Rattus norvegicus: one gene and its partners. The protein of the gene in region 6 interacts with the protein of the main gene of each other region in a pairwise test. Links are inferred from orthologs where the notes say so. Each region holds a gene or a part of one and is shown on either strand. Other genes may lie near its edges.

Region 1 (3,500 bases), on a different chromosome or scaffold from region 6:
AGACCTAAAAAGGAAACTGAGACGCTGTGAGGGTACTCCGGCTGAACTCTGGCAGACAGATCTGGAGGCAAGAATCAGTGATGGGGCAGCCCAGAGCCAGACAAAAGTCTGCAGTAAAGTGAGCCAAGAGATTTGGGAGCCTAGGGTGGAGGCCTCTGAGTTTCTTACTCGACAAGAGTATCCTTACAGCCCTGGGCTGTAAGTGGAAGCCTTGAGAACAACATGAAAACACCATGTTTGAAAAGTAAGAACTTGAGAAAAGCAGCACACACATTTGCCAGGAAGAACGACATGTTCCTTCTCACAAGAGGCAGTGGCAGGGACTTTAAATGCCAAACCCACCAGGACTGGTATAGAGGAAGCACTCTTCATGTATCATGACAAGAAACGACATCACCCAGCAGGCATGAAAGGGTTGGTCTCCCAACTCCAAAGGTATCTAGGCGGACCAATCCTTGGGGGTTTGAGCATTTTGAAACAGGGTCAATTCTCCATTTTTTTGGTAAGAGGCATTCCTGGCTCCTAAGCTTTGATGAGATCTCTTCCTCAGTGATCTCCTAGAGGCCCTACATTCCATAAAACTCACCTCACTGGGGAGGGGAATGGAGATAGCCTTACATCAGGAGCCACAGGCTAGGCCTCTAGAGTCAATATCTCTATGGAGATAGCCTTAGGGACCTAATAATTGAGGGATAAATGCAGAGGCTCCCCAGGAACCAGAGAGATAAGCCAGGCTTCCATGGTAACTGATTGTAGTACAGCCTCCAGCCCCCGTCTAGTTGGAGGTGGAGAGAAAATTGAGGGAGACTTGGGCCAAAATTTGAAAGAGCCACAAAGTGCAAATGGGTAGGAAAGTTTTTACAAGAAGGTCACATCATCCTGGCACTGTCCCCAGTACCAATGAGCCTCAAAGCCCTGCTTAGCACTGTCATCTTCTGATGGCTCAGGTGGTCCACATTGGAGCCCGTCCCCTGGAAGTTTCCATGTAGCTGTTAGGCTCCCTAGCTTGGTGGATGTCATGTCCACCTCAGTCCTGGCCCTGTCCTCACTGGGTATAACCTTTGCCCAGTCAATCTCAGGACAGGAAGGCCCAGGGTGTCCTTGTTCATCCAGCTCTCTGGGGGCCACCGTGTCCAAGAAGCTGCCAATAGAGACACTGTCCAGCCGGTCAGTTGAACTGGTATCTGGCAGGCTGTCCCAACTGCCCCGCCTTGAGCGTTCTGGGCTTCCCCCTGTCAGACTATACTGACTGCTGGTGAGACTGCTGCAATGGCTGGTCAGTGTCCCCCGCTCCTCCAGCAGCCAGCGCACTGCCTCAATTCCCTCATTCAAGGTCACCAGCTGCTGCAGAATCTTCACATCGATGGCTCGCAGGTAAGCCTGAGGAAGTGAGAAAAGACATTAGTTCCCTTTCAGGCTATGAGTTTCCCAGGTGGTCCAGGCGGCTACACTTCACTTTTAAAAAAACACGGGAAGAGATACAGGCTTTAGAGCAAAGAGACCCCTGTTTAAATTTTCAGATGGATCTAGGCTGGAGATACAGCTCAGTGGAGATCGACTTGCCTCCTTAGCATGTGTGAAATCCTGGGTTCCATGACTTGCACCAAACAAAAAGACAACTTTCCAACCAGGCAGTGGTGGCGCATGCCTTTAATCCCAGCACTTGGAGGCAGAGGCAGGTGGATCTCTGAGTTTGGGGCCAGCCTGGTCTACAGAGCTTAAGAGAAGTCACAGCTCAAAAACAAAACAAAACAAACAACCCCCCCCCAAAAAACAACAAAACAACTTCCCTATTGATTAGCTGCATGATTCTAAGTAGCTATCATATTTTCTTTGAGCCTCAGTTTCCTTGATTAAAAAACAAGGCTAAATCATTCACTTTGTAGCCTGGGAACAAGGATTTTAAATGCTATCAGGTATGCACTTTCTACAGCAGGGTCTTTGTAGACATTAAATATTAAAATATGAGGGTGGGGGATGTGGCTCAGTGGAGGAACACTTGCCTAGCATTCACTAAGCCCTGAGTTCTATCCCTAGCACTGGATAAACTAATGTAGTGATGCACACTTGTAATCCAGGCACTCAACTGGAAAGAAGGAGATCAGAAGTTCAAGGCTATTCTCAGCTACACTGGCAGTTCAAAACCAGCCGGAGGTTCATGAGACCCTGTTTCAAAATTAATGAAATAAAATAATAAAATAAAATGAGGGCTTTTTTAAAAAAAATATGGCTCATGCATATAACTTCAGCACTCAAAAAGCTGAGGAGAAACACTTGGAAGGCAGAGGCAAGAAGATTTCTGTGAGTTCCCGGCCAGCCTAGTCTACAAAGTGAGTTATAGGTCAGGGAAGACTATAACTGTCTTAGAAATCAAACAAGCAAACAGAAAAAGAGGCTGAGAAGGAGTGAAGAGTTTGAGGCCAGGGGCTTAGGAGATGGCTCATCAGTTAAGTGTTTGATACTCCTGATGAGGACTGGAGTTTGGTTCCTGCCGTGAGAATTTTGGTTTCTTTAAAAAGCAGATCTAGGGGCCTAAAGAGATGGCTCAGCGGTTAAGAGCACAGACTGCTTTTCTAGGGATCACGAGTTCAAATCCCAGCAACCACATCATGGTGGCTCACAACCATCTGTAATGGGATCCAATGCCCTCTTCTGGTGTGTCTGAAGACAGCTACAGTGGACTCATATAAATAAATAAATCTAAACAACTACAACAACAAGAAAAAAAAACAGAACTAGGAATGTTTTTATTTTAGTCCCAGGTGTGCTATATGGGGCTGCTTCACACGATTGCTTACAGCAGCTGACTGTGATTTGCCTTGTGCTCTAGCAGGGGTGTGATCTTGCCAGCTGCAGACAGTTGCGATTGTGTGACATCCAGAACTTTTCAGAGGGTGTATAAATGCTAGAGCCCCAGTAGGTAGATTGCTGGTTGTTGTTACCACTTATTCAGTAGTTATGTGCAAAGAAGAAAGAAGAAGAAATGTGATATCCTGGCCAGGGAAGACCAAACTTGGCCCAAGGAACTCAGTGTCCCTAATCAGGAAGAAATAGTTGAACCATATTGTTGTCCCCTTTCCTTTTTATCCTTTTTTCCCTATCTAGTGTTAGGGAGTTGAAAGGGTGGGAAACGATGGAGAAGGGTGGAAGAAAGAAAAATCCACAAAGTAGCAAAACACCAGTAACAAATTCCAGTGTCCACATGGTGTGGTTCACAACCTCCTATAACTACAGCTCCATAAAAAAAATCCAATCCCCTTTTATGATCTTGACAGGCACGTGCACACACACATACACAAACACACATACATATAAATAAAAATAATTTAAAAATTTTTTATTTTTTTTAATAATTTAAAAATTAAAACTTTAAAGGAGTTCGAAGCTAGTGTGAGACCTCTTAAAAAATTAATAAGGGGTTGGGGATTTAGTTCAGTGGTAGAGCGCTTACCTAGCAAGTGCAAGGCCCTGGGTTCGGTCCTCAGCTCCAAAAAAAAAAA
Region 2 (4,151 bases), about 51 Mb from region 6:
TTATACCCTGTCTGACGTCAATACTTATTACTATTTTTTTCATAGTCACATAACTTTTATTTTGAAAACCTTTCCTTAAAAGTTCTTTGCTTATAAAATATACAATAACCAGATATTTAAGATATTAAAAACAAAGAAATGTATGTTTGAGTTCAGGAATTGTCACTGTGAAGACAAATGAGATGGTGACTTCGTGTGAGGCACTGTTTCATTATAGAGAAGCTGTTAATGTTATCATAGAAATTTTCAAAGTCATGTTTTGTAAATCCATTAAAAAGAGTCAGATACACACATAGCAGTCATTTTTATTAGATGCTAATCACTGACATCAGTGCAAGGGCAGGTAATTATCCACACAATTCACATACAGCCCATACACTTGGACTTTAACATTAGGCTTTCAGCTCTACATTTATTTCATTACTTCAAACATATATTACGATGTATATTTGTTTCCAGTTTTTTCAAATACATCTTTGTATACATATACGCATATATATCATTCTTAAATATATATTTCCAAATATAAATAATTTCACATCAAGCCAAACAGGATAAAAACATGTAAACATATGCACCTCATTTTGGTCAAGTAAAACAGAACCACAAAATAACCACAAGTTAACAAGTGCACTTGAAAGAGAAGAAACAAACATGTAAACAAACACAGACAGCAGCTGCAAGGTCCTGTAAGGGTCCATTTTTTTTTTAAGGCTATATAGCAAAAAGCTCATAATTCAGTTAAAGACTTTTGTCACCTTGTCACATTTACTCTTAAGGGACTTCACAATGAGAAACTGTAAACACTAGACTAGAAGTGATTGAATCCTGTTGGAAAAAGACATCACAAGTCATCAGCTGACAGAAATATTAATTCCACCAAACAATACTTATAAGATTTCTTGTTATTTTGTAACACGGAGAAACATCACAATCCTAGCGAGAAGAAATGGGAAATAGAGGAGAAAACAGCAATACTGCATAAAGATTGCCTCAACAGCCTTTGAAAGCGATAGGGTTTTTGAGTCAGTCGATAAAGGGGAATAAGCAACAGCAGACAACAGAGCCTTAGCAGACCAGACCACATGCCACAGCGTGATACTACAGATTCAAATTGAAATATTCTTCCAGCTGGTACTGAAGCAAGAGCCACCGGTCATCAGAGATGGAAAAACTGCCTCGCAGGCAAAGCAACTTCTTAAGCAACTGATTGGCCAGGCGAAGCACGGAATGCTCCTTTTTACGGCTTTTAAACAGCACGCTTCCCTCTCGCAACTGCACAGGCTCCAAAACTTGATGCCAGTATGCGCTGGACGATCCACCACCATCTGGCCTCGGAGGCTGATCTCTCCAGCCCTCGGGGTATTCATGCTTGTAAAAACAGAATTCTCCAAATGGGCAGTGACCTAGGCCTCCAGCAAAATACCTGCAGGCTTTCTGGCTCATCCCCTCCTTATATTGCTGAACAAGTTTCTCCTTCTCCTCTTCCTCCTCCACCCAGAACTCACTAGGAATGACAAAGCCAGAGGAGACCCTGCACTGTGGGCAGGACTTACTGATCCTGTTCTCAAACTGTGTGGCACTTCTCCACCTGCGGATACACTTAAGACAGTAGGTGTGGTTGCAGCTGAAAAGGATGCCAAAGCGGCGGTCGCTGGGGTCGGCCTTCTCATAGACAACCTCCATGCAGATGCCACACACTTTGTCCATGCTGCGCTGCACAGCAAAAGAGAGTTCCATATCTCTCTCGTGTGCTTCAACGCAGGCCCTTCTATGAGCTTCCTGCTGAGCTGCATCCCAAGGGTGCAGGGCCTGTTGCCCGCACATGTCGCATATTTCTCCATGGGGGTATGCACACCTGTCCCCACGGAGGCATTGTCCCCGAGCAGCATAGCGGCAAAGCGGCAGCGGCATTCCCATGCCCATAGCCATATGCTCTCTCTCAATCTCCGGGCTCTGCAGAGGAGCCTCGGGACCATGCGGGGGGATCATGCGACCTCGATACGGCTGTCCAGGAACAAACTCAATTGCCCCCTCCCAGCCTTCTGCACCCGCTCCTCCCGCAGCACCTGCTGCAAGGCCTGCATTGTCAATCTCAGCTTCAGGGAAGCCCCTTTCAGCAGCTGAGCCAATGCCTGCATTGTCAATCTCAGCTTCCGAGAAGCCCCTTTCAGCAGCCGAGCCAATCAGAGGCAAGGAGCTTGAGGATGCAGTAGGGGGGGCTTCCGCCACTTCCTGAGTCGGGGGCTCCCAGTGAGTGGCCATCTTGGGTCCTCTGTCTGCAGAGGCCCGAGGCTGAGAATCTTGGCCCCCCCTAGCTTTCCGCCGCCCAGAAAGGTCGTGAGAGTAGCGACAGTTATCGCCCTCCTTGCACTGCCCATGCAGATAATACCTGCAGAGGATTTGCTTCGTCCAGCTGCCTGTGTTGCGCTCCGGACCAGACCTGGCCCCGCCCCCTTCGGCTGGAGCGGGTCTCAAACTCGCCGCGCGCCGGTTCGCAGGGACTGGAGCCATAAGAAACGGTGCCAGGCCCGATGCCTCTTGCAGAGGGGCTGAGCTGGCTACCGCAGAAGCTCCAGAAGCCTCAAACTGAGGAGGGGGGGGGGCAGACACACCCTCCCCCCCCTCAGCACCTGCCTCGGCGCCGGCGGCCTCGTAGGCTTCCATGGGAGCTGTAGACTCTTCCATCACGCAGCGTGCCTCTAACACTGTCCAAAAACCCGAATATTATGTCTTTTTTGTGCTTGAATTGCGGAGCTGAAGATGGTCCGATCAGCTTCTTCTCGGAGAGAAGTGCATCAATTTTTGTCTTCCCACCTGCTCCCTGTTCCCTGAGAACTTTGGTTCCTACCTGCTTACAGGCAGCCGGACACTTCCGGTTGTAACACCATTTTCCGGTGCTTCACCGGAAGTTGCTTCCGCCATGTTTTTCCCGTACCGGTAACCGCTTAAGATATTGGAATCGGCTTCTGCCGGCTCTCTTAGAGCGATTCTGAACTCCCCAACCCCCGTTTCCACACTGTTTTCCTTGAAGGTTGATGTTTTAATCTCTCCAGGTTTCGGTTGTATACATTGCATTTTATTTTCGTTTTCAGTTAAGAAAACGCTACAATCCTTGCCTTTGCCATCGGCTGCTATTGACATTTATAGAACATTTCACTCATAAACATTAAAAAATATTTTTCGGTTCAATCTGTCTTTTGTTTATAGGTGACTACTTTTTAAATCGAAAAGGGGCCCCCCCGCCGAAGCATTTCTCCTTTGACGCTTATAGATCTGACACAATTTCTTTGGGTCTTTTTTCCTTGAAGGGTTAATTTGCGTGCACTTTAATTAGAAGGGAATCCTCTGCCCTGAGGCTAGTCAGACAGAGCCTTTCACTTTCCTGCCTTTGTTATATATCCCCACCCACCCCACAACAAAGTAGAAGCCTAGACTTTGTCTAGCCCTGATGAAGACTTAATAAGCCAAGGTCTGAGAGTGACCCAGGCTTTTAACTTTTTTCTGTTGGTTGGATTCGGAGACCCTTTGTTCCCTGCCTTCCTTTTCATCCCATTCTGCTCTCCCGAGCTTTTCATAATACAAGCTCTTCTTTGTGCACCAAAGTGTCTCATTTCCATTTCCACATTGAGCCGCAGTTTTGTTTTGTTTTGTTTTTTCGTTTTGCAGATATATACTATTGGACTAATAATTTCATATATAGTTCTACAATGCTACATCTACTTACTATAGTGTCATACTAAATTTTATAGTGTAGTTATTTGTGGGTTTTTATTTTTAGTAATAACCATGTTGTCTTATAATATTTAATATACTACTTTTTTCCAAAACTAAAATTATGCTTGCTAAAATAATTTTATTACAGGCAGTCTTACAAACTAAGGTTAAAAAAACTCTGAATGCTTTTGATATAATCATCCAACTCAAAATATTAAAATATTATTCTCCACTAAATAAAGCCAACAACAATAAAACAAGCTAAGAGGAACATTATCAAAGAATATAGATAAAAGAGGTGAAATGAAGCAAAAGTAAATATGAAATAAGGAAATAGAATAAGCGAAATTTTTCTTGTATAACTTATCAAGAAACATAATAAAAGGCTCAGAACTCCAGCATCACATACGTCAAAAGAACTGACACTAAGTAAC
Region 3 (3,500 bases), on a different chromosome or scaffold from region 6:
ATTCGAGCTATATTCTATTGTATTTTCTGACACAGAGTTACACTCAGTTGCCCAGGCTGGCCTGGGACTCTTTCTTTCCTAACCTCATGAATGCTAGGATCCCAGGCGTGTGCCACCGCTCGCAGCTCACCACAAGACTTTCTCCAGAGTCAACCGCTCCACTCGAAAGGATTTGAATACTGTTTACTTCAGCTTTTTCCTTGCTTTGACCTGGCCCATACATCGCTACTTCTTTATTAAAGGTGGAAGCTGACTTAAATGAGCCCTTGTCTAATTCCAAGTGTCTCTCGTTCTCAGTAAAACTTGAATGAGCCACCTTAGATCTTGGGACGATCCCAACCTGACTATCACTCTGTGTTCTAAGTAGTCACTCCCAGGCCTAAGTACACCCTTCGGTAGCAGTGTATCCCTGAGCGTCTGCAGTTCACTTACAGAAGACATTTTGTTTCCAAGTTTCACTTAAAACAAAACAAAAACAACAGACCTAAAGAAAACCACAAATGGATACATCATTTTACAATGATGTCGGCTTACCTCCTGCAGGAACTTCTCGCTCATCTGACTGAAATGGTGCGCTGGGGGCTTGATCCCAGACACCATCAATCCGGAAGGGAAGACCCTTGGCTTCTGCAAGTCAGGCTTCAGTTTCTCGTACATATTTGCAGGCGGCTGAAGGCTCGACGCCTTCTCTTCTTGGGGAAGAGGCATACCACATGCAGGAGGGGCATACGGAAGCCCTACTGGGACAAGGGAAGCATCTCCCTGACTCAGCGCCTGGGGGTTCCTGCGTATGTAAGTGATGATCTTGGGCCTCACATGTTTGGGTTTGGGCATGAGGATGGGCTTTGCCTCTGTCCTTTCTTCTGTTTTCTCTGTCTCCGGTTTCTCCAGTGCTTCCTGGGAGGAGGGCGTGTCCTTGGGGTGCGTAAGAGACTTGGGGATTCCACTGGGGCAGGTGGTCTTGTCAGGCACTTTCGGCGATGTGTTCAGTACCTGCCCACCACCAGTGGGGGCTGAGGCCACTGAGAGTGACCCTGTGTCCACACTGAACACTCCGAGCTCCTGAGAACTGCTACTTGGAGGAGTCAGGTACTCAGTCAAGTTCACAGTTGTCTCTGGGTGGAGGGGAGCCGGGGTACTGAACACGGAATCTACTCCAGCCGGAGTGACGTCAGTTTGGGCCGCATTTTCTGGAAGGTTCTTATCTTCAGCTACAGATGTTACCGTCTCTTTGCTTTTCCTGGCTTCCAAGCTGCTACTTCGAGGGCTCAAGAGCTCGGAGGCGTCGGTTCTGTTCCCACCCACAAAAGGACCTGAGGCCAACAGTTTGGCACTGCCCGAGTTCCCGCTACCCAGCCTCCTCTCCTCCCCACTGACCTCGGAGGGCGCGCTCTCATTTGGATCACGGAGAACAGGAGTTACTTGTCCGTCATCAGGTGCAGCTTTGCCGGATGCTGTTTCCCTCGCCATCCTACCCGCACCTGCTGACGCTTTCCCGGTGAGTCCAGTCCCTGCCTCTCCCGCGGGAGCGGCGCTCGGTGCAGGGGTGGCTTGCAGAGACCCCTCCACACCAGCACTGACTCCAATCCCGTCTTCCTGGCTGCCGCCTCGTCCCACTCCAAGCTGGTGCTGGCTGCTGTTCAGTTGACCGGTGGCTTCTCGGTATTCCTTCTCAAGTAGCTCCTTCCTGTCTACAGGTGACGTGCTTCTTTCCTCACGACATACCAGAGCTTGGGCCTGGGCTGATGTTAGTCCCTCCTCATTCCTGGGTTGGATATATTTGAGCTCCACTTTGGGCTTCCCTGTTCCTTGACCTAAATACACTTCTGGATGACAGAGGCTGGGGTTTTCCCTCAGTGCTGAAGCTAGACTGGGAGTCAGTTCTGCACGAGCGGTGCACTGGTTGTGAACATCTGGGCCACGTGTCCCCTCCACCTTGGTGTCTGATGGGCTGGAGCCCTTGGCTTCTGAGGTAGATGGTTTAGGAAGAGACACACCGTTCCCCTCTGAGGTTCCGTCACCTGGAGAAAAAACTTTCCCTGGAGAGTGACTGGCTGGTGTCCCTTGTGGCCCCTCCCCATGCCCAGGCACGTGACCCTGAGGCTCCGAGATGTCCGGCTGCGCTGGCTGTGGGTTCGTCGTTGGAGTGATGCCACCAGCTGCAGCTGCTGACCTGCTTGCTCGCTTCAGCTCTTCGTTGTCAAGAGTCTTTGCCAATTTGTCCTTGGGAGTGTGCCTGGGAATCTCAGCAGAAACCTCTGGACTGGCTTGACCCACTGCGTTCCTCCAGCTGGAGAAACTTGGTCCCTGAATACTCTGGGGGGTCTGCAGGGTACCTCTTTTTACTGTGTGCTCCTCACTCAGTTGCCTATGAACAGTCAGAGAAGACTGAGAATCCCTCTGGCTGGCAGAGCCAGCCTGAGACCCTTTCCCGAGGCCCTGAAGGTGAAGAGGCTCCTTTTGGAAGTGGCCGTGGTATTGTGGCCTGCTTAAATTTGCATTTCCGATCTCATCATCCAGATCACGTGACTTGGGCTCATCGCAAGAGGCGCTAACCTCCAACATGATTTGATTGGCATTTGTATCCCCCGTCCTCAGAATATTGTCGTTATTATTTTTTGCTCCTTCTCGGTGATCTCGCAACTGACTGAAACAGGATTTCTTTGGCGCGAGTGGGACACTCATGGTCACGTCTTCAATGAGGGCTGCTGGCCATGCGGCCTCCCTTCAAGCTGCAGGGCAACAGGCAGCTGTCACCTTCTCTGTCCTCCTCTGACAATGTCACATCTAGAAGATTCTTTGAACCTCTTCAGATGAGTTTCAGAACCAACCACTGTCTTGACACACAGTAGGACAACTCTTCATGCTCCATTGCTGTTCAGTGCAAACCAGTGGGTTCAGGAGACCTGGAAAGAAACCAAAACGTGTGTGCTTTAGAGTGAAGACAGCAATAATCTTGAGCAAAAGACACAGGCAGCAATCACATAGATGTGACCCTTTCTTCTATCCTGTTATGTCATGTGCTTATTTCAAAATCGTTTCAAATAAAGGCTTATCTGACTAAATATCCAAGCTGAGACATCACAAGGATACATTTTAGAGTGAGATATAAGGGGTCTTACATGTATGCTGTCTTAGAATTGTGTGTGTGGTTGTGTCTCTGTATGTGTGTGTAGTTTATGTATAGTGTAGTATGTATGTGTGTGGTGTGTGTGGTGTATTTGTGTGTGTATGTGTGTGGTGTCTGGTGTATGTGTAGTGTGATATATATGTGTGTGTGTGTGTGTGTGTACTGTGGTGTATGTGAGCACATGTGCTATGTGTAGTATGGTGTGTGTGTGTGTGTGTGTGTGTGTGTGTGGTGTCTCCTCTCTTCACTGACAATTTACTTTCTGATTTGTTGTCCAGAGTTTGCCATGCTCTAAGAATATCAGATGAAAAGTTCCAGAAACAATCCATTGGTTTCAAACAAGGTACAGGTTTTAGCTGTGTGATAAAAC
Region 4 (2,580 bases), on a different chromosome or scaffold from region 6:
TCAAGGCTGTGCACAGCCACAGGCTGGTTGGAATGTGCACACCATTGCCAGCAGGCAGCTTTGTTCTGCAGCCATGGGTGAGTCTGGAAACAAAAGCAAGCCTGGTGAACACTGACATCCTGAGACCTGATACTAGCGCACTTGATACTGCCTGCTGGGTGTTCGAGACTTAAGGAGTTTAAAATACACTTGCCTAAAAATCAATCCTCTACAGAACTGAGAAAACACACTGGAGTGACACACAACGAAGGGTGGATTCCTAAAGTCTTGTTCGGGTATCACTTCTGAGCACTTTTGGTGCTGAGACCATTTAACTCAGTAGAGCTTTGCTTCTTTCTTGTTGTGAGGTGTGTCACAAGCACTGCCCCTCCTCCACACACACACACATGCATGCAAGCACACACACACACCCTATAACGAGTAGATTGCTGCACACAGGATATATGTGTTTCACGTAAGTTGTTGTTGTTGTTTTAAATAAGGTCAGTTTATCCTTCTGTGGTATGAGTAAACATTGGTCTACTTGGCGTGGTTTTAAAAAATTACATGGGGCTGGGGATTTAGCTCAATGGTAGAGCGCTTACCTAGGAAGCGCAAGGCCCTGGGTTCGGTCCCCAGCTCCGAAAAAAAGAACCAAAAAAAAAAAAAAAATTACATGAATGTGTGTGTGTGTATGTGTGTGTGTGTGTGTGTGTGTGTGTGTGTGTGTGTGGTGTGTAATGACAGCTTGCAGGAAGTGGTTTTCTTCTTCTACCCCATGGGTTATGGGGATCAAAACTGCCCGGAAGAAGGAATAGAGAAAAGGAAGAGAGAAGCCACTGTTTTTGAGTAGGTAGAAGGTAAGCATGTAGCCACATGGAGAAAGAGAAACAGCCCAGAATACTAGAGAGTGTGTACTTAAACCTGGGCCAGTGCCAAAGCAGAAAACGAAAAGGAAAAAGTGAAAATGACATTTCATGGTGGTTCTGTAGTGGCTGTATAGATAGCAGGGATTCTGGGAAGGAAAAGTATATGACCTCATTAAAGGGATAGTTATTCTTCCCATCTCATTAGCATAGAGAAGGTGAATCTGCCTTCCTGATGGGCAGTCCACTAGCCAGGCGATGAACCTGTCCAACTGGATTAACTCATGCTGTGGTTAGCCTGCAATGGTATGTCTCTGCTTAGACCATTCTTCTGACCAGAAGGCAACGGTTTTCTCTGAATGAGATTCAGAAGAGCCCTGACTAAGGCTACTGTAAATTCTCCCCTCTGATGAGGTAACCCTAAAATCATTTAGGAGATGGGCTAAAATTGGGGAACAGATATAAGCCATTTTATCATGAAAAAATCTATGGACCTAATTCTACAGCTATCCACAAATGGATTAGTGTCTGGCTAAAGGTCCCACCCTCAAGTGTAACCCTTAGGAAGGGGACAGGACCAGAGAACCAGGGATACATTGGGAATGCCTAGAAACTGCCCGGCCTGTTTCTTTCCTTCCTAAGGTTTTGTTTTTATTTTATGTGTCTGGTCTGCATGTATGTGTATGTGCCACATGTGTGCAGTGCTTAAAGAGACCAGAAGAAGAGGTTGAATCCCCTGAAACAAGAGTTATTGATAGTTGGGAACCACCGCATGGGTACTGGGATCCCTTCAAAAGAGTAGCAAGTGTGTTTAGTTGCTGACGAGTAGCTCTTCAGCCCCTGCCTGGCCAGTTTCTATCTCCTGTTCACATTATCACTCCGTCTGAAGAGACTGACAAGCAACTTGACCAACCAAGCTGTCTGGCCAACCCTTGTGTAGGAAACTAAGATTCAGGAGTTTTAGGTATTGGAACTTAGTCTTGTATTTTTTTTTTTTTTTAACAATCTAGTTAGAGTCCCTCAAACTCCAGGTTTTTTTTTTTTTTTTTACCTCAGAAAGAAAAACAAGATGGAGCTCTAGTGGTAGTATATTCCTCTAATCCCAGAACTCCAAACTTGGAAGGCTGAGGCAGGAAGAATACCAGTTCAAGGCCAGCCTGGGCTATAAGGTGAGAACCTATCAAAACCAAAGAAAAAGGAAAAACAAAAAACCCCAAAACCTTCATTCCTAATGCTTGACTTCAGTCCTGCACTTTAAAGCAAAGTGCACTAGAATGGGATTAGCCTTGTCAAGCATTACCAGATCAGAAATGGAGTAGGGATGTCTGTCAGTTGTTCCTTGAATTGTCCCAGCGGCCAGAGCCCTCCCTTTCCCCTGGCTCCTCTCTGCTCTCGTGTTCAAAGTAGGCCTCTTCTTCTTCCTCCTCACGGACCACCTTCATCAGCTGCAAAAACGTGGGCAGTGGGCCCTGATCCTTCAGCTCCCGTAGCCTGCACCAAAGAACGTTGCTAAGGTTGGCTCCAGCCATGACCTGCTCCAGACGTACCTGGTCAGCAATGTTCCGGGGGATGGCCCTTTTTTCCACAGCTCTCCGGAGCAGAGTCTCCAGCCGGAGCACATAGGCTGAGATTTTCTCTCCTTCTTGCTGATAGGTTTTTAGGTATTTGACCTGTGAGGTTCTACGGCTCTCCATGCTCCCAAACACCTGCTTAAAGGCCTCCAGACATTCTTCTG
Region 5 (4,052 bases), on a different chromosome or scaffold from region 6:
TTACATATAATACACGAACCTCATATGCAAGAGAATATGTTTTGCTCACTACCAAACTCTCAGCACCTGAGTCAAATGAATGGATTTGGAGATTCAGTAAATGTGAACATTTACATTAAGTGTTTACTTAACGTGGCGGGGGGTGACTTTCATATGTGAATTATTAATGTTTTTTTCTTTTCTACTCTTTTTTTTTTTTTTTTAAAAAGACAGACTTCTCACTCTGTAGCCCAGATTGATCTCAAACTCAAGGCAACTGTTCTGCACTCTCCCAAGTGTTGAGATCACAGATGTGTCACTAAGTACACCCAGCTGCAATTTTTTTTATTTTAACAATGAATTTATATTACCTGCATGCCAAAAAACGTATCAAGAGGTCACATAGGCAGATAGCATATAAATGAATTCCAACAGAAATTGGACACATCTACGAAACAGATTTTTAAAAAGATATTACACATAATAGTTAAGATCCGCCATGGTTGGACTCTCTTCCCCAACGCTTGGTAGCACTGTGATCCTAAGTTATATATTTCAATGCCTAAATTTCCTCAGCTGGACCGTGAGGGCAGTAACAGCGACTCCCTCAGAAAGTTGATCTAGGCGAGCCCTTATGTGTAACCCTCTTTGTACAATGCCTGGCATGCAGTAAGGACGGACTCCACAAATGGAAGCTCTTATAAGAATCTATACTAGTAGTAGAAAGAGATGTTGGGACATACCTAGCCCTCAAGAGTGACATCAGAGTGGACCACCACATCATCATTGCGCTTCCATGTGGGCCTCTGAAGCCCAGAGAGGGGATGGGTCTTTCCAGAGAAGGCAATTTCGACGTCCCAGAAGCATCAGAGTAAAAAGGACCCTCTTCACCCCTCAATTCATTCAGTCTAGGTAATCCATGAGTGGCACAGCGCGGCTCGGGCTCGCCATTCTCCAACCAGTGCCTAGGCAGCCTCAGTTTCCTTGCTTTCAACAGAACTGGAATGGGACTGTTAAGAAAAAATCCAGACTGAACCAGCCGAGGCCGCCTTAGCGCGTGCCACCGGGACGCCAGTGGTGACGGGGAAAGTGACAGCAGGTCAGAGTTCAGGGCCCACCGACAAGTAGCCAGGTACCATGCTCCTCATCCCGGGGCGACGCCACCGGGACCCGCCCGCCGCGGGACTGGAGGAGGCGGGACAGACTCGGCGTGCTCGTGACTGAGTGGTACGGGACCGCGCACGTGATTCGGGGCCGCGCACGTAGGCCGTGGCGCGCACGCAGAGAGTCTGCACAGCGCACGCAGCGGCGGGCTCTTCGGTGCCGAGGTGCGGGACGTGGCGAGGTGAGGCGCGGGGCCGAGCGGCGGGAGCGAAGGCACTCGGGGTCACGAGGTGCGGGCTGGCTCTGCGGGCCACGCGGCGGGGGAGGTTGATGCGGCCCGCGAGTCCCGAGCCCCTCCCCCCCGCGGCTGGCGCTGCCGCACCTTGGTATTCGGGCTGGGCGGTGGAGCGCGGCCCCGGCCCACCTGACCCGCCGAGCCCCCACGTGGGTCTCCGCGAGCCAGTGTTTAGCACCGTTTTGGAGCCGAGGCCCCGGTTCAATGACTTGCCCAAGACCGTGCAGCTATAAGGATGCTGTCTGCACAATTGCCAAGCCCCCGACTCACTCCCCTGTTTTCCTCATGGGGTTCTGACCCTCGCCCCCTTCCCTGCTCTTTCTGGTAATTAATTTAAAGGAAGCCCGTCTGTCAAGGATGTTAGTGTCACTGCGTGGTCTTTTAAGGAAGGAGAGGAAGGAAGATTTTACTTTCTGCAACATTGTGCTTTGCGACGTGAAGTGTTTTTGTCAGAACGTATTGTAGTGTCTTTGACAGTGTAAGGGTCTATTGATAGGGCCCTGCTGTTCAGCAGGCTGTAAAAACATTATGCAAATACCCCAATCTTTAGCGCTTCTGTTTAGCCTGCGCCAGGAGATTGTTAGGATTCCAAGATATAGTCTACATACTTCCATTCAGTACCTGGCATATGGATGTTGGCTGTTATTTTATTCCTGGGTATATAATATGCCTTTGTTGAATTGATTTTTTTTAATTAATTAATTTATTTCTTTAGGCAGCCTCATGTATCTTGGGCCAACCTTGAACTTAATGTAGCCAAGAATTTCCTTGAACTCCTGATCCTCTTGCTTGTACCTCTGGAGTACTAGGTGTAAGCTTATTGGATGCTGGAGTTTGAATACAAAGCATCCTTCATGCTTAAACCCCCTATAGTTGAGCTACAGAGTCCACAACATTCTTCTTCAAAGACCCAGTTTTCTTGGAACTATATAGAGGAAAAACTCACCCCTACCCAAAGTAGCCAAAAAAATCGGCCCTCCACCTTATTATCTAAGCATTACATATACTTTGTGTATCAGTCCCCAAGCTAAAAATGTCAAAGTGAAAAAACTTTCAGGAGAAATGAAGGTGCATTAGCCTTTTAGAAGACTAACATTTATTTGTCCAAGTTGCTAAGTGCTTTGTTTTGGTGTATGTGGTCTGTTTGTTTTTTTCTCCAAGATAGGGTTTCTCTGTGTAGCCAGCGCTGCCTTCCTGGAGCTCACTCTGTAGATTAGGCTGCTTGTGCCTTAGTGCTAGGATCAAAGGTGTGCCTGCCATGCTTGTTTTAGGTTTGGGGTTTCAAGCAGTAGATAGCCAGGGATGACGTTGAATTCCTCCTATTTCTACCTTCTGTTTGAATGAGTAAATTACTGATCAATATATGTTCGGTAGGAGTCCTTAGTTTCCAGTAATAAAATTCAAATTAATTTTTTGAGACAGGGTCTCACTCTGTAGCCCTGGCTGGTTCAGAACTCTCCATGTAGACCAGGCTGGTCTTGAACTCAGAGACCTATTTTTTTTCTGCTTCCTGGGTGTTAGGATTAAATGTTCATACCACTACACCAGCAAGTTCCAGATTTTGTAAGGAGGATTACTTTAAATTCTGTGAGTGAAATGAACCTTGAATGGTTTTCTGATCTGTGTGGGTCTTCTCTTTGTTCATAGGGGACCGTGGGATTGTTAATCTTTGGCAACTTCTGAAGTCTCAAAGCTCTGTATCAAGGAAGATCACACAGCAGTCTGTCAGCTAGAGGATGGACCGTTTGGGTTCCTTTAGCAGTAAGTACAGTGGGACAAGTCTCTAGTGATAATGAATAGCGAGCGAACTAAAATAGAAGTTGATCAGGGAAGCAACGCCTTTGAAATTGAATGATAATGCCTGAAGGAATTATGAATATCACATAATTATCACATATGCAACACAGCTTCATCACTTTAGAATAAAGCCAGGCTGAGTGGACTAGCCCCATATGATTGATCTATAAATAAACATGTTATTTTAAGCCCAAGTTCTCGTGTAGATTGGCTGGCCTGGAACTGGCTTTGTAGCGAAGGATGGCCTTGAACTACTTGTTCATCAAGTAAGTGCTGGGATTCCAGACTTGTATCATCATTGGATTTCATAGAAATAGAAATCATAAAAGTGAGCAGTGCACATACAGGCATGTACAGTCACAAAGTAGGTATTTGTTAGTAAGAACCAGAAGTGTGCTTTTAGGTCTTGTTTCCTGTCATTTTCTCAAAGGCACTCTGCATTTTCCCTTTGTAGGTTCAGCAGAACCTTAGACACATCCAGTTCTACATTTTCATTTTACTAATGTTGCAAGTGTAAATTGGAAAACTCTCACATCATTTCCTTCAAGAAAGGGTTTCTCTGTGTAACTGAGTTGACTATCCTGGAACTCTTTGTAGATCAGGCAAGCTTCTGTTTGGTAATGTGTCTGCCTCTGGGATTAAAGGCTGGTACTACCTCTCCCCGCTATCCCATCCTTTAAAACAATTGTTAGAACCTATCACGATGGCACATTCCTTTAATCCCAGCACTCTGGAGGCAAAGGCAGAGAGATCTTTGTGAGTTCAAGGCCAGCCTGATCCACATAATGAGTCCAGACAACCCTGGACTACTTAATGAGATCCTGCCTAAAACAGCAAACAAAAAACCCACAAATAATAATGATGACAATTTGTCCGT
Region 6 (3,500 bases):
AAAGGTAACAGCCACTACAATAATCACTTCTCATCTAGGGCCAGCCATACCCCAGACTCTGGGAGGTAGGCCTTATGCCTGTGCGCTTTCCTAATAACTGCCTCTTGAGGGGTATGCTCTAGCTGCCCCTGGTTTCCAGCCACCCAACCATCCTCATTGCCAAGTGGCAGACCCAGAATAGTATCCTTGCTCTTCCAACCATGTTGCCTCATCCTCCAGGAGCCTGAGGGCTATTGCCAGCCAAGCCAGATAAGGCCTAGTGGCTGGGGCTAGGGGTCAAGGTGAAGTACTCACTGGGGGCAGAGACTGCACAATGTCACTGTGGTAGATGTAGCCAGTGTGAGGCAGCACTGAGGTAGAAGAGAAGCCAGACAGTGTCTTGCGCTGGGCTCCCAACAGCATGATGTTGCAGGCAGGCATCTTAGACAGGTTGGTCAGCCCTCCAGCCACACCTGCAAAAAGAGGTGAGGTCAGAACACAGGGTTTACATCCAGGAACTCATGTATACCTTTGTGGATTAAGTAAGAATGTCCCTCATAGGCTCATACAGTCACCACAAAGTAAAACTCATTGATAGATTAGAAGGTTCAGAAGGCATGGCCTTGTTGAAACAAGTGTGTCACTGGGGGTGGGCTTTGAGGTTTCAAAAGTCCACGCCAGGTCCAATGTCTCTCTCTCTCTGCTTGTGGTTCATCTATATCTCCAGCACTATGCCTGCCTGCTGCTGTGCTCCCTGCCATGATAATAACGGCTTAAGATTCTAAAAGTGTAAGTAAGCCCCCAGCTGTGTCTTCACAGCAAGAGAACAGTGACTAAGACAACTTTGCACCTTCATTTGTTGGCTGGTTTGATATCAAGTATTTCACTCAGTAGCCAAGGCTGGCCTCAAATTCAAAGCAACCCTCCTGCCTCAGCCTTCCAAATAACAGTTACTAGTATAAGTCACTGTATCCAGCAGGACATGGGATCTTTTCTGGTGGGGAGGGGGATTTTATTTTTATTATTTTATATGTATAAGTAGGGTGTGTGCATGGAGATCAGAAACTTATGGGACTTAGCTCTCCCCTCTTGTATGTGGGTTTGGGGGAATCACCACACTCAGGTTCTCAGGTTGTCAAGCCTGGGCAGCAAATTCTTTTACCAGCTGAGTCATCTTTCTAGCTCAGGACACAGAATCTTTAAGGAAATGACTAAGGTAAAATGAGGTCATATGGATCCTGACTCTATCTGACTGGCATTCTTGTAAGAAAAGGAGATAAGGATACAGATACAAGTGGTGTGGCTACACAGCCAAGCAGAGGCCTCTGGAGAAGTCTCACAGCAACTTGGTCTCAGACTTGCCAGCTCTGAAACAGTAGCCTCAGGAGTATATGCATCTTGGCCTGTGGGACTCAAGCCTGAAGCTCAGTGAGCAAAGATGGTAAGTTTTCCCATATTCCCTTTGCAAGCATCTCTCTGCAAGGAAGGAAAGGACTCTGCTACAGGAGCTTCCAGGAGAAAGAGCATAGCACATGGCAGGGTTTGCTGCCCTATCCAGTAGGAAAGCTTGAGCTGACATCAGTACTCTGTGGCTGCTCCAGGGTCTAAAATGGGCCTATTGGCAGGAAGAAGTTGGCTTGCCATCTGTGCAACCTGATTCAGCCAGCCAGCTAAACCTAGAAGGGAGTTGCTATGCTTCTATCGTGTGTACATACCAAGCTGGCTGATCTCAGTCTTCAGGGGACAATACAATCGCGCTAAGGCCAAACCCCACTTCCCCAAGGCAACCTAACCTATCAGCAGCCTCAGCCAAAGGGACCTAGCTGGGACCTCACCCATGATCTTGGCAGCCGTGGAAGCTCCAATGATGATGGACAAGTTGGGTGCAATGAACGACATCCGGGACTCCACGTACTCATAGATGCGGTGCTTGGAGGCATTCAGCTCCAGTGCCATGTCACAGGCCTCCTCTAGTCGCTCTAGTTCCTCATCTGACAGCTGCTGCCTGCATTGTGGGGCAGGTAAGGGTTGGGAACAGACCCCAGTTTTGCTAGGTACAGTTCTAACTAGTGTTCAGTCCCACCCACCCTCTCAGCTGTGTATGCAAGTGTGTTTGTGTAGCTCTAGGACTATCTAAAATTCCATCCGCCTAGGGGTCATAATTCTCAGTCAGCACCACCTTGACCATGACCCCCATTCTGCCTCTCTCTCTTTTGTTAATTGTCCTATTGTAGGCTTGCTGCACCTTACCATATGGCATACATACCCCTGGGTGGTAGAGGCAGTAACACTAACAACCATGATGGTAGCATTGGTCAGGATCTGCTGGAGATTCTCATTGTTCTTACACTTATCCAGGCTGTTGCCCAGTTCCTGGGGTAGGAAGGGGAAAAAGAAATTCTAGGAACACTAACACAGGTCTCCCCTTGAGGAAGTTGGAAAAGCTAAGGTCCATATACTGGAGACTTCTCGTGCCTTTTACAGTTTTACAACATCCCTGCCTAAAGCATCAGTGCTGCCTACTCTGCTCTGCTGATGCAGAAGTAGAACCTAGGCAGAGCAGCCTCCAAGGAAGACATGTGCACTAAAGAGGCCTTCAAAAGTGCACTTTCTTCCACAGACAAGACTTCTTCTGCCACCATCCTGATCTCTTGGGCAGAGACAGGACCCCTGCTCTTTCACCTCCACCTGCTCCCATCACTTCTAGAGAAGCCAACACCTTCTACGTCTAATGTTCTCTGACCTTTCTAAGCTTCCCTCCCTGCCCCTTCTGACTTCATCCTTACTTGTTCCCACTCAGGGTCTTAGCTCTTATTCAGCTGTGGCCTCTGCCAGATCAAAGGACTCCTGCTCCAACTGCAGCTAGAAGTAAGGGCCAGGTCAGTGGTTATCCTCCCACAAAACCAAGGGGAGGAGGGAAGCAAGGGATGTGTATGACACATCCATTCCAGTATCTGTCTCTCACCACTGAGCCCCGTTATTTCTAGACTTGAGGCTTCCTGGTCTAGTGGCCTCAGTTCTTCCCAAGCCAGACTCCTCTCCACTCACCTTGACTGTGCGGATGTAATCCAGAGCGTTGGGCACCAAGGATTCTAGCTCAGGGAATCTCTTTGAGTATTTATCCCGGATGAACTTATGGATAATGTCTAAATGGGACATGGAGGGTAGGTGTCCACTGAGGGGGAGGCAGACTCTGCTGCTATCCCCAACACCCACTTCCACCACTTTAGTAACCAACCCCAAATCATGTGTGGGGACATGGATGCCAGCATGAAATATATATTTCCTAGCTGTCCCCAATGCTATGTGGAGGGGGAAGTTTGTTCTACAAAGGTCTACAAAATATGAACCAAAGTGACATTTTTCAACTTCCAGATCATGGCCATAAGGAAACAACCATGCCCTATCTTCCCTCCACATTTTCTGGTAAGGATATGGAGGTGAGCGATCATCCTAGAGCATGAACAGGTGCAGAGCCTGGCTGCTGAAGGGGGTCAAAGGATGATTCGACTTGCTTTCCT
Region 7 (3,936 bases), about 140 Mb from region 6:
AAATGAAATGAAGCAGAATTTTTATTTCCGTCACAGCAGAGCGGAACATGGTAGTGCACGCCTTTCATCCCAGAACCTAGGAGGCAGAGACAGGCAGATCTTTGTGAGTTCGAAGCCTCATCTACTTAGTGAGTTTCAGAACAGTCAGAGCTACAGTTTGAGACTCTGTCGCAAAAAGACAAAACAAAAACAAACAAAAAAAGATGGAAAGAGGTTGGGAAAGGGAAAGGAAGGAAGGAAGGCCGGGTTATTGCCGCTAGCGGTCTGGGCCAAGCACGGGAGCCCTGGACACGCAACCCTTTCCCGTCTAGACCCGCCCTGAGACGTGGGCAACGCGAAGTCCCGCCCATTTACCCCTTCCTGGGCGCCAGAGGCACCCAGACTCCGCCTCCAAGGCATGATCTCCGCTGGGGGCGGAGGCGGAAACTGGGTGGGGGACTTGGATGGGAAGAGGGTCGGGAAAGGGCTGGCACTGGGCCCTAGTGTCCTCCGCGACCAAGTTCAAGCTTGCCCGCCTTCTCAGGGGCTTCCATTCATTTCGGGCCAAGACTACTGCTGCCCTCGCCCCCATACTATTGTAGCGTTGCGCAGGCAGGGCTTGGGGAAGCAGTGCCCTGAGTAAAGAGACCACCTGGGGGTGGTGGAGGTGGATACAGAGGGAATTGGACAATTAATTGTATGCCTGGACGAGGATCAGGAAACCTTGGATGAAGTTTTAGGACCATCTAAGAGTGTAACACTGGATAAAATCCTGAAAGTGGTAGCATTTGGAGATCTGAGGATTAAATAAATGTTTGTTAGGTTCTGGGAAGCGCAGAATCCGGTTACACGGAGGTGCGAGTGCACAGAGGGATTCCGGAGGCACAGGTTAGATAGGGTTTAGGTGGACAGAATAATCATTTTGAGTGAGGGCCTGGGGTCCCCAGGTGAGTTTGGGTGCCAAGCATCAAGGTCAATGGTCTAAGGACCCAAACATTGGGAAACTGACTAGGCGTCCACAGGCGACTCCAGGCAGCGCCGCGGGGGACCGGGTGGGGGCCTGTGGCCGGCCGGGGCGGAGAAGCCGGGGGGTCGGGGTCCCTCCCCCTGGCGCGGGCTCAGGAATCCGCCGAAGGGCGGGCGGAGGCGCCGGGGTGGGCCGCGGCGGGCGGGCGGGGGGCGCTTCCTGGGGCCGCGCGTCCAGTGAGCTGCGCGGTCCGTCCGTCCGCCCGCAGGCACTGCTGGAGTCAACGCGTGAGTGGCCTCCAGCGGAGGGAGGGCGCGGGCCGTGTTGCGGCCGAGTATATGCTGCGCGGAGCGGAGAGGCCTGCGCTTCATGACTCGTGGGGCGGGGGCGGGGCGGTCCAAGATTGCGGCCCTGAGCCCCAGGCCTGCGAAGGGACTCGGTCCCCAGCCCTGGAAGGTTTCGGTGCTCCCAGAACAGTCCTGGGACGAGATAGCTGGGACCCAGCCTCCCCTTCCAGATGGAGGGAATGGGGGGTGTCGTGGCAGAAACCCCTGACTTCTGCCCACCCCCTCTCAGCCCCAGGATGCTCCCATTTGCCTCCTGCCTCCCCGGGTCTTTACTGCTCTGGGCGTTTCTGCTGTTGCTCTTGGGAGCAGCGTCCCCACAGGATTCCGAAGAGCCGGACAGCTACACGGTGGGGACCTTGGGGTCACCAGCTTGGGATGGGATGGGAAGGACAGCGAGTGAGGCAGGATCCTGGGGAGGCTGCTTCTGGGAATGATTCTCCCCTGCTTGGTTGGTGGAAAGCTGGAGGCCATTGTGTGGAGCTGACCTGAGCATGACTGAGCTCAAGCCCTGGTCTTGGCCTGGCTAGTTGGAGGAGACAGCCAGGGTGGTCACTGGCCACATCGGGTTCCCTTCCAGGAATGCACAGATGGCTATGAGTGGGATGCAGACAGCCAGCATTGCCGGGGTGAGTATGTCTGGGGTACTAGCCATCTTCAGGAACTGGGAAGGGGATTACTTCTGTTTCCCAGGGACACCTTATCTCCCAGAGCTGCAGCAGGAACTTGATGGCCTTCCCACTGTCCACCCTGGTAGCCAGCCATCTGGTAGGCAGCCATGCTTCTCTTGTGCCACTCAATTAGGAGCCCTACCCCTTCAAGAGGGTGAACAAACTCTGCCTCTGTCCTGCAGGAGGCAAGAGAGCACCTGGCTATTGCCCAGAAAGAAGGAAATACGTACACCTTCCCTGAACTGCACTGCACTCTCCCAGCCCAGCTCTATCCCAGTGCACCCTGGGAGGGCAGTACAAGCTCTGTGGGTCAGGAGGCCTGCAAATTACTCTTGGGCAAAGGTAGAGGCAGGGATTTGAAGAGAAACGGAAACTCACATGGAGGCAGGAGAATGGGGGTAACAGTGTGAAATAGGGGGCCACACACCCAGTCCTGCAAATGCCTGGGAGGGGTTCTGGGTCGGCAGCCTTTGCTGAGCAGAGAGAAAGCCTTGCTGTGTTGCTCAGTTTAGAGAAGGCCAAGTTGGGCTTCTGCCTCCCACTACCTCCAGGGCCAGCCCAGGTGACTGGCTGTGCCCAGCAGGCCCCTCTCTGCAGATGTCAATGAGTGCCTGACCATCCCCGAGGCTTGCAAGGGTGAAATGAAATGCATCAACCACTACGGGGGCTATTTGTGTCTGCCTCGCTCTGCTGCCGTCATCAGTGATCTCCACAGTGAAGGACCTCCACCACCAGCAGCCTCTGCTCAACACCCAAATCCTTGCCCTCCGGGCTATGAACCTGATGAACAGGAGAGCTGTGTGGGTAAGTGGGGGCCATGCTGGCACCTAGGCTTCCAGGCCTTTTATAAACTTTTTTTAAAAAAAACTAACTTTGGGGGTTGGGGATTTGGCTCAGTGTAGAGCGCTTGCCTAGCAAGCTCAAGGCCCTGGGTTCGATCCCCAGCTTCCAAAAAAAAAAAAAAAAAAAAAAAAGAATAGAAAAAAACACTAACTTTGTATTTACTGTTCAAAGTAATGTGTTTTATCATGGTGCCATCTCGGCATATATCATTCTTGTTTCTTTTAATCCTCCAGTAGAGTTATTTTAGTCCTCCTTAGTTTGTTTCTTTGTTTTTGATTTTTGAGAGAGGGTTTCTCTGTGTAGCCTTGGCCATCCTAGAACTCAGACTCAGAGATCCACCTGCCTCTGTACCCCACCATCCAGCTATGTACTTTGGGTTTTGAGATCGTTTCTGGATTTGATTCCTGGCACCACAAAAAAAACACAAAAAACAAGTGTGGTAGCGCACACCTGTAACCCACCAGTGGGGAGAGAGCAAAAAGATCCGAAAGTACAGGTTATCCTCAGCTGCGTAAGAACTTTTGAGGACCACCTGAGGCTGCCCGAGATCTTACCTCAAAACAATTAATTAACAAAATAATAAAGTAATTTTCCCTATTTAATACCCCAGACCTCATGCTCCTTCCGTCTGGCTGCTCAGAGAAATATCCAAGTTTTCATCTACTGCAGGCTCAGTGCATGGTCTGCAGGCCCAGGATGTCCCTAGCAGCCTCAGTTCCTGGACAGACATGTGAGAGCTCTGCTCCCAGCCTCTGCCAGCTTTTTGATCTGGAGTCAGGTCTGGGAGGAGGAGAGATCCTGGCCCTGCAGTCAGCTGCGGGGTATAAATGGACAGGGCTTTATTTGTCTGTTTACTTATGTATTTATTTTTAAGACAGTGTCTCACTCTGTAGCCCTAGCTACAACTAGCTTGGCACTCACAGAGGTCCTCTTGCCTCTCTTCCCCCGCAGTGGTGGAATTGAAGGTGTGTGCCACCAGTTCCCACAAGACCCTATTTTAGTATGTTCTCCTAATGGGTACTTTTCCTGGTAATTCCTTGGTGGACTCTTTTTTGGACTATTGGGATGATCTCAATTAAATGTTCATGATTTGATGCCAACTACCCATGTGCATGGGCCCCCTCCTCACACG

What was found.
Region 1: the proteins of Prpf31 (region 6) and Lurap1 interact in binary tests that used the Homo sapiens proteins (3 or more experiments, as listed by UniProt). The two-hybrid records come from large-scale screens. The link is inferred for Rattus norvegicus from reciprocal best matches to the Homo sapiens genes PRPF31 and LURAP1.
Region 2: the proteins of Prpf31 (region 6) and Mkrn3 interact in binary tests that used the Homo sapiens proteins (3 or more experiments, as listed by UniProt). The two-hybrid records come from large-scale screens. The link is inferred for Rattus norvegicus from reciprocal best matches to the Homo sapiens genes PRPF31 and MKRN3.
Region 3: the proteins of Prpf31 (region 6) and Mtus2 interact in binary tests that used the Homo sapiens proteins (3 or more experiments, as listed by UniProt). The two-hybrid records come from large-scale screens. The link is inferred for Rattus norvegicus from reciprocal best matches to the Homo sapiens genes PRPF31 and MTUS2.
Region 4: the proteins of Prpf31 (region 6) and Pnma2 interact in binary tests that used the Homo sapiens proteins (3 or more experiments, as listed by UniProt). The two-hybrid records come from large-scale screens. The link is inferred for Rattus norvegicus from reciprocal best matches to the Homo sapiens genes PRPF31 and PNMA2.
Region 5: the proteins of Prpf31 (region 6) and Tada2a interact in binary tests that used the Homo sapiens proteins (3 or more experiments, as listed by UniProt). The two-hybrid records come from large-scale screens. The link is inferred for Rattus norvegicus from reciprocal best matches to the Homo sapiens genes PRPF31 and TADA2A.
Region 7: the proteins of Prpf31 (region 6) and Efemp2 interact in binary tests that used the Homo sapiens proteins (3 or more experiments, as listed by UniProt). The two-hybrid records come from large-scale screens. The link is inferred for Rattus norvegicus from reciprocal best matches to the Homo sapiens genes PRPF31 and EFEMP2.

What each region holds. Positions count from the first base shown.
Region 1 is NC_086023.1:134,855,367-134,858,866, forward strand, and holds the end of Lurap1 (leucine rich adaptor protein 1), read right to left. Parts: intron 1,381-3,500; coding exon 859-1,380; 3' UTR 277-858; downstream 1-276. UniProt on the Homo sapiens protein: Acts as an activator of the canonical NF-kappa-B pathway and drive the production of pro-inflammatory cytokines. Promotes the antigen (Ag)-presenting and priming function of dendritic cells via the canonical NF-kappa-B pathway.
Region 2 is NC_086019.1:125,338,379-125,342,529, forward strand, and holds Mkrn3 (probable E3 ubiquitin-protein ligase makorin-3), read right to left. Parts: upstream 2,801-4,151; 5' UTR 2,689-2,800; coding exon 1,102-2,688; 3' UTR 286-1,101; downstream 1-285. UniProt on the Homo sapiens protein: E3 ubiquitin ligase catalyzing the covalent attachment of ubiquitin moieties onto substrate proteins.
Region 3 is NC_086030.1:11,975,004-11,978,503, forward strand, and holds part of Mtus2 (microtubule-associated tumor suppressor candidate 2), read right to left. Parts: intron 2,907-3,500; 5' UTR 2,686-2,906; coding exon 535-2,685; intron 1-534. UniProt on the Homo sapiens protein: Binds microtubules. Together with MAPRE1 may target the microtubule depolymerase KIF2C to the plus-end of microtubules. May regulate the dynamics of microtubules at their growing distal tip.
Region 4 is NC_086033.1:45,293,060-45,295,639, reverse strand, and holds the end of Pnma2 (paraneoplastic antigen Ma2), read right to left. Parts: coding exon 2,174-2,580; 3' UTR 501-2,173; downstream 1-500.
Region 5 is NC_086028.1:69,508,770-69,512,821, reverse strand, and holds the start of Tada2a (transcriptional adapter 2-alpha), read left to right. Parts: upstream 1-1,252; 5' UTR 1,253-1,324; exon of another isoform or gene 1,325-1,373; intron 1,374-3,025; 5' UTR 3,026-3,114; coding exon 3,115-3,139; intron 3,140-4,052. UniProt on the Homo sapiens protein: Component of the ATAC complex, a complex with histone acetyltransferase activity on histones H3 and H4. Required for the function of some acidic activation domains, which activate transcription from a distant site. Binds double-stranded DNA.
Region 6 is NC_086019.1:74,496,423-74,499,922, forward strand, and holds part of Prpf31 (U4/U6 small nuclear ribonucleoprotein Prp31), read right to left. Parts: intron 3,126-3,500; coding exon 3,028-3,125; intron 2,353-3,027; coding exon 2,246-2,352; intron 1,985-2,245; coding exon 1,815-1,984; intron 453-1,814; coding exon 295-452; intron 1-294. UniProt on the Homo sapiens protein: Involved in pre-mRNA splicing as component of the spliceosome. Required for the assembly of the U4/U5/U6 tri-snRNP complex, one of the building blocks of the spliceosome.
Region 7 is NC_086019.1:212,210,586-212,214,521, forward strand, and holds the start of Efemp2 (EGF-containing fibulin-like extracellular matrix protein 2 isoform 1 precursor), read left to right. Parts: upstream 1-1,136; 5' UTR 1,137-1,233; exon of another isoform or gene 1,234-1,463; coding exon of another isoform or gene 1,464-1,529; coding exon 1,530-1,640; intron 1,641-1,870; coding exon 1,871-1,919; intron 1,920-2,558; coding exon 2,559-2,765; intron 2,766-3,936. UniProt on the Homo sapiens protein: Plays a crucial role in elastic fiber formation in tissue, and in the formation of ultrastructural connections between elastic laminae and smooth muscle cells in the aorta, therefore participates in terminal differentiation and maturation of smooth muscle cell (SMC) and in the mechanical properties and wall integrity maintenance of the aorta.